Sus scrofa: one gene and its partner. The protein of the gene in region 1 interacts with the protein of each later gene in a biochemical or structural test. Links are inferred from orthologs where the notes say so. Each region holds a gene or a part of one and is shown in the gene's direction. Other genes may lie near its edges. The genes, in order: PDK1 and PDHA1.

The links.
Region 2: the proteins of PDK1 (region 1) and PDHA1 form a complex in vitro, tested with the Homo sapiens proteins (2 studies listed by BioGRID, with this or other methods). The link is inferred for Sus scrofa from reciprocal best matches to the Homo sapiens genes PDK1 and PDHA1.

What each region holds. Positions count from the first base shown.
Region 1 is NC_010457.5:78,646,315-78,649,252, forward strand, and holds the end of PDK1 ([Pyruvate dehydrogenase (acetyl-transferring)] kinase isozyme 1, mitochondrial), read left to right. Parts: intron 1-525; exon of another isoform or gene 526-1,833; intron 1,834-2,065; coding exon 2,066-2,206; 3' UTR 2,207-2,281; downstream 2,282-2,938. UniProt on the Homo sapiens protein: Kinase that plays a key role in regulation of glucose and fatty acid metabolism and homeostasis via phosphorylation of the pyruvate dehydrogenase subunits PDHA1 and PDHA2.
Region 2 is NC_010461.5:15,698,493-15,702,984, forward strand, and holds the start of PDHA1 (pyruvate dehydrogenase E1 component subunit alpha, somatic form, mitochondrial), read left to right. Parts: upstream 1-1,431; 5' UTR 1,432-1,713; coding exon 1,714-1,770; intron 1,771-4,492. UniProt on the Homo sapiens protein: The pyruvate dehydrogenase complex catalyzes the overall conversion of pyruvate to acetyl-CoA and CO(2), and thereby links the glycolytic pathway to the tricarboxylic cycle.

The sequences.
Region 1 (2,938 bases):
GATTTAGGAACAATTACAGTTGACTCTTAGTAAGCATATAGCTCACCTGGTGGGAGCAGAAGCACTTAGCCTATTGGCTTGGGATATTCCATGTGTTTATGCAGACAGAGATCAGTGTATTTCACAGGGATGAAAAGCACTAGGCCCCACCAATCCACTGGATTTGCTCTGCAGTGGGCTGTTGGTGCCTGATTCAGTGACACTAATTTCTTGTTATGGCCACTAGATGGCACCTATTTTATAGGAAATGCTGAAGACTTCACATTAGAAAAAGTAAATTTGTCTGAAAAGATTAAAATTATTTCAAGGTAATAATTTTTCTTTTTTTTAACCATCTTAATTGTGAAGAACTTAAAAAAGAGTGTCTTCACGTTTCCCTTTTTATCATTAAATGTAACTTTTTTTTTTTTGCTTTTTCTAGGGCCGCTCCCCCAGCATATGGAGGTTCCCAGGCTAGGGGTCGAATTGGAGCTGCCAGCCTACACCAGAGCCACAGCAACACGGGATCTGAGCCACATCTGTGGCCTACACCACAGCTCATGGCAACCCTGGATCCTTAACCCACTGAGCAAGGCCAGGGATTGAACCCGCAACCTCATGGATCTTAGTAGAATTTGTTAACCACTGCGCCATGATGGGAACTCTGTAAATGTAACATTTTTGTTTGAGTCTATAGATCCAGGAGTTTGGCAGTTCTGGCATATTTAAGAGAAAATATATATATATGTGGAAGGTTTTTAGCTTCATTTTGGGAAAAAAATAGAATACAGGAAGTCTTATAAAATCGTTAAAAAACAACAAAGACCTTCCTTACCATTATTGGAATGAAATTTCCAGTTCATTCTCTTCTACATCTTGAGGAATGAATGCCTGTAGCTTAAGGTTGAGATCCTACCAAAACATCCTAACTTGAAGATGACAAGGAACAGTTGGTCTCAGGTTCTAGTGATTTATAGGAACTGAAATAGAACAGTGAATTGATGGTGTTACTATGTTGGAAACATGAAATTACAGTCAGCCCTCTGTATCCCCTGGTTTTGCATCCACAAATCTAACCAAATGGGAATCAGAAGTATTTGCAGAAAAAAAAATTCCAGTAAGTTCCAAAAAGCAAAATTTGCTGCATACCCACAACTATTTATTTACGTAATATTTATATTGTAACTATTTGCATAGCATTTATATTAGCTATTATAATTAATCTAGAGTTGATTTTAAGTATACAGCAGGATCTGTATGGATTATATGCAGATACCACACCATTTTATTTAAGGGACTTGAGTATCGGCAGATTTTGGTATCTATGAGAGGGTTGATACAGAAGTTCAGCTGTGCATGATGCCGAAATCACATGTGCTGTAACTAAAATCCATGACTTTAATGGCAGAAGAAGGCACAGGATCAAACCCAGATTTCATTAAATGATTGTACAATTACATATGTTAAGGTACATATGAGAATTTTTATGCTTTTACAGTTAACTGACTTTTTCAATTAACTAACTTCTGCTCTGGGTCATGTTTTATAAGAGGTATCTTTCATACCTATGTAATATTTCAATTCAGCAACTTCCAGGCTGGCTGGAGAATTACTGCAAGTCCTAAACTCAGTCAACATACACATTAAGCAGTTGCCATAGGCTTAGTAAATAACTTATTTCAAATATGTGCTCTATTCTAAAATGTTAGGGTACCTGCTGTGGTGCAATGGGATTGGCGATGTCTCTGGAGCACTGGGATGCAGGTTCCATCCCTGCCTGGCACAGTGGGTTAAAGGAGGATCCATTGTTGTCATAGCTGCAATGTAGGTCCCAACTGTGGCTCCATCTGATCCCTGGCACCAGATCCATGTGCCGTGGGGTGGCCAAAAAAGAAAAAAAAAATTAAACACAACAGCCGTCATTTAGAATAGAATAAGCTAGAATTCAAGTAGATGGTGTATGGTAAAATACAGATCCAAAAAAATATTGTTCAATTTGTAATACTTTTTATACTATTGCATGTTTTCTCAAATAATGGATTCTTTTTAAAAAATGCCTAACTTGAAGTCCCGCTTTTTCTTTTAGGCTCTGTCCACAGACTCAATAGAAAGACTCCCAGTGTATAACAAAGCTGCCTGGAAGCATTACAACACCAACCATGAGGCTGATGACTGGTGTGTCCCCAGCAGAGAACCAAAAGACATGACAACATTCCGCAGTGCCTAGACACACTTGATACCCTTGGAAAATCCAGATGTGGCTTTTGCATTAAATTTGGAAGGGATGGTGTTCAGAACTACATTATACCAAATACTTCATGTGTCGTTTTCACAGTTCACTATCTGGGTAGAGTAAGTGGCAAGTCAGTTCCATTTATGCCTGTTCAATCTCCTCAAGGACAACATCGTATCTACATTACACTTAATATTTTCACAGTTAATTGAACCTATTTTTAAACAACTAGTTTTGCTCACCTTTCTCTTTAGAGTGGATTTCAGAAGCGTAGAAATCTTTGGGTTTCTACGGGAAGCTATGTGGTTTTTTAAAAAATTCTTTTATGTCTGCTGGAAACATCTTCATACTGATTAGCTAGGTTAGCCATCTTTCTGTTTTAGAGGAGTTCTGCCGTCCTTTATTTAGTAATGATAGATGTAATAAGACGATCAGATTTATACAACTATCTACAATTAGAGCCGTAAACAGTTGCTCTGTTACTGTAGAACCAGCGATCTTTCAGCATCTACATGCATTGTCTTCACTCTGAAGTTAATTTATCATTTTTTAATTTTATTGCAAAGGATTATGATTGGTTTCCTGTGGAGTTAAGCCAAGATCATGGTCTCTTGTGATTAATGCAAGGGGAAATTCTGATACTAAAAACAGCTGCTAAAATTCTAAATTAAGAGATTTAGGGCAAAGCAGCAAGTCCCCAAAACCGTACTGATTGTTGAGATTACC
Region 2 (4,492 bases), on another chromosome or scaffold:
TCTTATTTTTGACGAAGATTTGGGAAGCATTTCATGACCCACTTGGCCCACACCACTAGAAATGCTCATTCCCAGGTCAGGGGAGGATTTCCTTGCTAGGACCCTCCATGTGCTCTTATGGGACTAAGCCCTGCTAACAGTAGCCCAAAGCCTCAGGACCACCTGTCATACCAGTCTGTTAGGATCCAGGAAATGGTTCCTTCTTGTTGCTTCTTTCCATATCTAGGGTTACACTATGACCAACATTGATCTGGTAGAATTATATGTATCTTTGGTCCTTCGTTCCAAGTCAGCTAGTCATCTTACTTTTATCAGAGGCTCAGTTGCCCATTTGGTAATGCAAGAAACAGTAGTCTTGTAAAACAGGCAGGATACAAGGAGTATAGCTAGAGACATTAATAAGGTCGTAAGTATTTAAGCGAAGAAATTCCATTCATTGCAGCCCTGTATCTCCCTAGGTCTTGTGACTCAGTCTGTTCTGTACCAGTCGCTATCTTTAAGGGAAATGATACATTGGCATTTGTGCATAAAGTTCACCAAAGATGTCTGCACATACGAGGTGAGTGGAGGGCAATCACGACGATTTACAGGATTGAGCAAGGAATGTTATCTTCAAAGGAGTTACATGGCTGGCTCTAGAAGAAGAAAAATTGAGCTTTATGGCTGAGGAGGTATTTCTGCCATTGGGGAGGTGAGCTTAATGAATAATGTAGATGAACAATGCACACCAGAAAGGGGGGGTGTGTGTGGAGAAGGCCCAAACAGACAGAGAAAACATTTTTGTTTAAATATTTCTTGTCTTGGAGGCCCGGTCATGGCTCAGCAAGAACGAATCCGAGTAGTATCCGTGAGGACACGGGTTTGATCCCAGGCCTCAGTCAGTGGGTTAAGGATTCCGCATTGTCATGAGCTGTAGTGTAGGTTGCAGATGTGGTTTGGGTCCCTTCGCTGTGGCTGTGACGTAGGCCGGCAGCTGCAGCTCCAATTCGACCCCTAGCCTGGGAACCTCCATATGCCACAGGTGTGGACCTAAAAAGACAAAAAAAAAAAGAAAAAGAAAAAATTCTTGCCTTGCTTTAAAATAATAATTTTATTTCATCAGATCCTAGCTCAAGTAGGCAGGGAAGCCTTTTACAACTGTTATGTAACTTCTTAGAGACAAGTTGGCAGCAGAACCATTTATAAAAACCATATGTTCTGTCCTTTGGCCCCATCAGGCTATTAATCTTTATCATCCAGTGTATTGAGCAGAGGCTGCAAAGGTGCAGTACTGGCAAGACTAGTCGCTGGGTAGTATTGCCCTTGAACGATCTCCAGAGGAGCACGGCTCAGCTGTGGCGCCCAATCTAACAGGGTCCATTCCCGAGTGGCCCTGGAGGCGTGGCCTCGCTTTCCCACGCAGGCGTCCTCAGGTCTCCCGCCCCTCACCCGTGTGGTGACGGAGGCAGCCCTCAGCCCAGCTCTCTGGCTCCGACACCCAATGGGCGGCCGTGGGCCTCTCGGGTGGGCGGGGCACGCCCTGAGAGCAATCCTGGTTGGCCCGTGGCCCGGTGCGGCGCATGACGTCTTCCGTCGCGTCGCGTCGCGTCGCGTTCCGTAGCGCCGCCGTTAGGTCTTAGCGTCCTCCCCGGGCGCCTGAAGGAGACTTGGAGACTTCTGGGCCTCGCTGCTTGAGCGGTTGGGAGTCGCCGCTGCTGCCACTGCCCGCACTCCATGAGGAAGATGCTCGCCGCCGTCTCCCGCGTGTTGTCGGGCGTCGCCCAGAAGCCGGTGAGTCGGCCTGAGCGGCCCGTGGCAGGGAAAGAGCGGGACCGAGGCGGGGCCCGACGCCGGAGGACGCCAAAGGGCAGGGCAAGCGGGCTAGGCGGGCGGGTCGGGCCGGGCGCAGCGGTCTTCGGGGAGCCGCAGGCCTTTGTTCTGCTTCCACGTTGTGTGCTGCACTCCTGGCCGCGAGCGGAGCGGCGACTCGGCCAAGCGGCGCCGCCTGTTGGAGGGGGAGCTTTACAAGGTCCACGTGGAGGTCAGCAGTGGTTCCCCGTGCCGGGCTTGTTGATGCGGCCCCAAAATGCCCGCCCCCCGCCCCCCAAAAGAAGCAAAAGTGCCCGTTCCTTTACTGTAGACAGAAAAGGGGGCCTTGGGCTTCCTCGAGTTGGCTGCCTCTTCCTGGCCGGTTCATTAAAATTTTTCCTTAGTTCCTCTTGACCAGGAATCCGGAGACTGACTCCGTTCAGACGCCAGCCTCACTCTTTACTAGCCCTGTGGTCTTGGGCAAGAGTTTTTTGGTTTTGCTTTTTTTCTTAAAACAGCCCGGTGCTCAATTTCCTCATTTCTGAAATGGAGAGTACTTACTCCATGGGGTTGTCGTGAGGCTTAAAGGAGTGACAAGTATGTAAACCTTTCCGGTAGCGCCTGGTACATGGTAGGTGCCGTCAGTATTAAATATTGTTATTATTTGAGTTCCCAATTTGGTATACATTTGTTGAACGCCAGCGCTCGGCTCTGTGGAGTGTTGATGCAGGGTTGGGTTCCAGAGAAACAACACACTTGGTACTCTTTCCTCCCCTCTGCCTCAACGGTGAGCTTTTCCTAGGCAGTCGATTCAAAAGCCGTCAGGCAGAACCCAGAGGGAGGCCCTCCACTTGCACACAGATGCGGAGACACTCTCATTTAGGATAGAAGTAGCTAAAGTGGTGTTTGGGAGGATGGGGTTAGAGGTTAGCGCTATTTATGGCTCCAACTTTTAGACATTCCTAGCCGAAGTTCAGAGCATTTTGACCTCTAAGCACGGGATGGGTGGTAATGTGACTTGGTATCACTGCAGCCAAGTTTTGACTTGCAGTTCTTGCTCCAGTAACTCCCAAGACTGGCAGCTCAGCTTGGTATAGGGCAGAGATCATCGAACGGTTGGAGGAAGTGTACTTCTCTAGGACTGCCATTGATTGACAAACACAGAATGCCATGTGATTAATCTGTATTAGCATTTAGGTTGTGATTGGATCTCCCTGAAAAACAAGCACATTTCACCGTTGTTTTTGGTCTTTTTGCCATTTCTAGGGCCGCTCCTGCGGCATATGGAGGTTCCCAGGCTAGGGGTCGAATCAGAGCCGTAGCCACCTGCCTACTCCAGAGCCACAGGAACTCGGGATCCGAGCGCGTCTGCGACCTACACCACAGCTCACGGCAACACTGGATCCTTAACCCACTGAGCATGGCCAGGGGTTGAACCCGCAACCTCATGGTTCCTAGTCAGATTCGTTAACCACTGAGCCACGACAGGAGCTCTAGTTTTTGTATTTATTTTTTATTTCTATGTACACAAAAGATAAATCCAGCATTTATTGTGCCCTTAATGTGTGCCAGGCACGTGACTATTTAATGTCCAAAACATCAGTTTTTAGTTGAATGTAGGTAATAGAAATATGTTTTCAACATCATACAGGGCCTTAGTTCGGTGTGATTACAGTAGAACTTCGTTTGAATTGATGGCGTTCTACAGACAAGGAAAATTTGTGAGTTTTCAAATTACTATCCCCTGTGTCCCTATGAACAGCGAAAAGTCAATATTTAAAATCAGAGTTTCATTCCCTTAGCTGTCCAAAATACTCCTGCTTGTGGGTTGTTGTCTTCCTGCAATGTGTTGGCATCAAAGGCAGATTGCACTTGGTGTTCCACCTCAGTAAAACTTGGGCCTTCTCAAAAATCATACAATACATCTCAAGTCAAATAGAAACGAGAGTTGGGTAACAGTGATCTGTTAAAAATGGAATATGGGAGTTCCTGTGGCCCAGTGGGTTAAGAACCTGACTAGTATCCATGAGGATGCAGGTTCGATTCCTGGCATTACTCAGTGGGTTAAAGGATCTAGTGTTGCCACAAGCTGTGGTGTAGGTTGCAGATGCGGCTTGGATCTGGTGTTGCTATGGCTGTGGTGTAGGCCGGCAGTTGCAGCCCCACTTCGACCCATAGCCTGGGAACTTCCATATGCTGCAGATGTGGCTCCAAAAGGACCAAAAATGAAATATAACTTTATTTAGTCAAAAATTCTTAAGAGATAAGATTATTATGGCAGAAATGGATTCCTGTGCAGAACAATTTATTTAATTAAAAACATTCTTTACTCTGTCTCTTTCTTCTTGTTTTCTTTTGTTCTACCCAATTATGTTGAGGGTTTCTTGCCCTTTTGGGAGGTTTAATAATTTCTTCTGCCGGTGTTCAGTAGATGTTTGGTGCGAATCATTCTACATGCAGAGGTGTTGTTTTGATGTGTTTGTGGGAGAAGGCGAGCCCAACCTCTTACTCCTCCACCATCCTGATCCTTCCCTAAAAGCATTTTTAATGAGGATGAGAGACTGAAGGAGTTACTGCTCCTTACCTTGAGCTGTCCTTCTTGTTAAGCTATTTTGCATGTTTTTTCTGCTGCCTGCATATGTGTGATTAATTGTACTAAGGCAGAAAGACAAATATTCTGAAGAATTCTGTATTAACCCTGTGT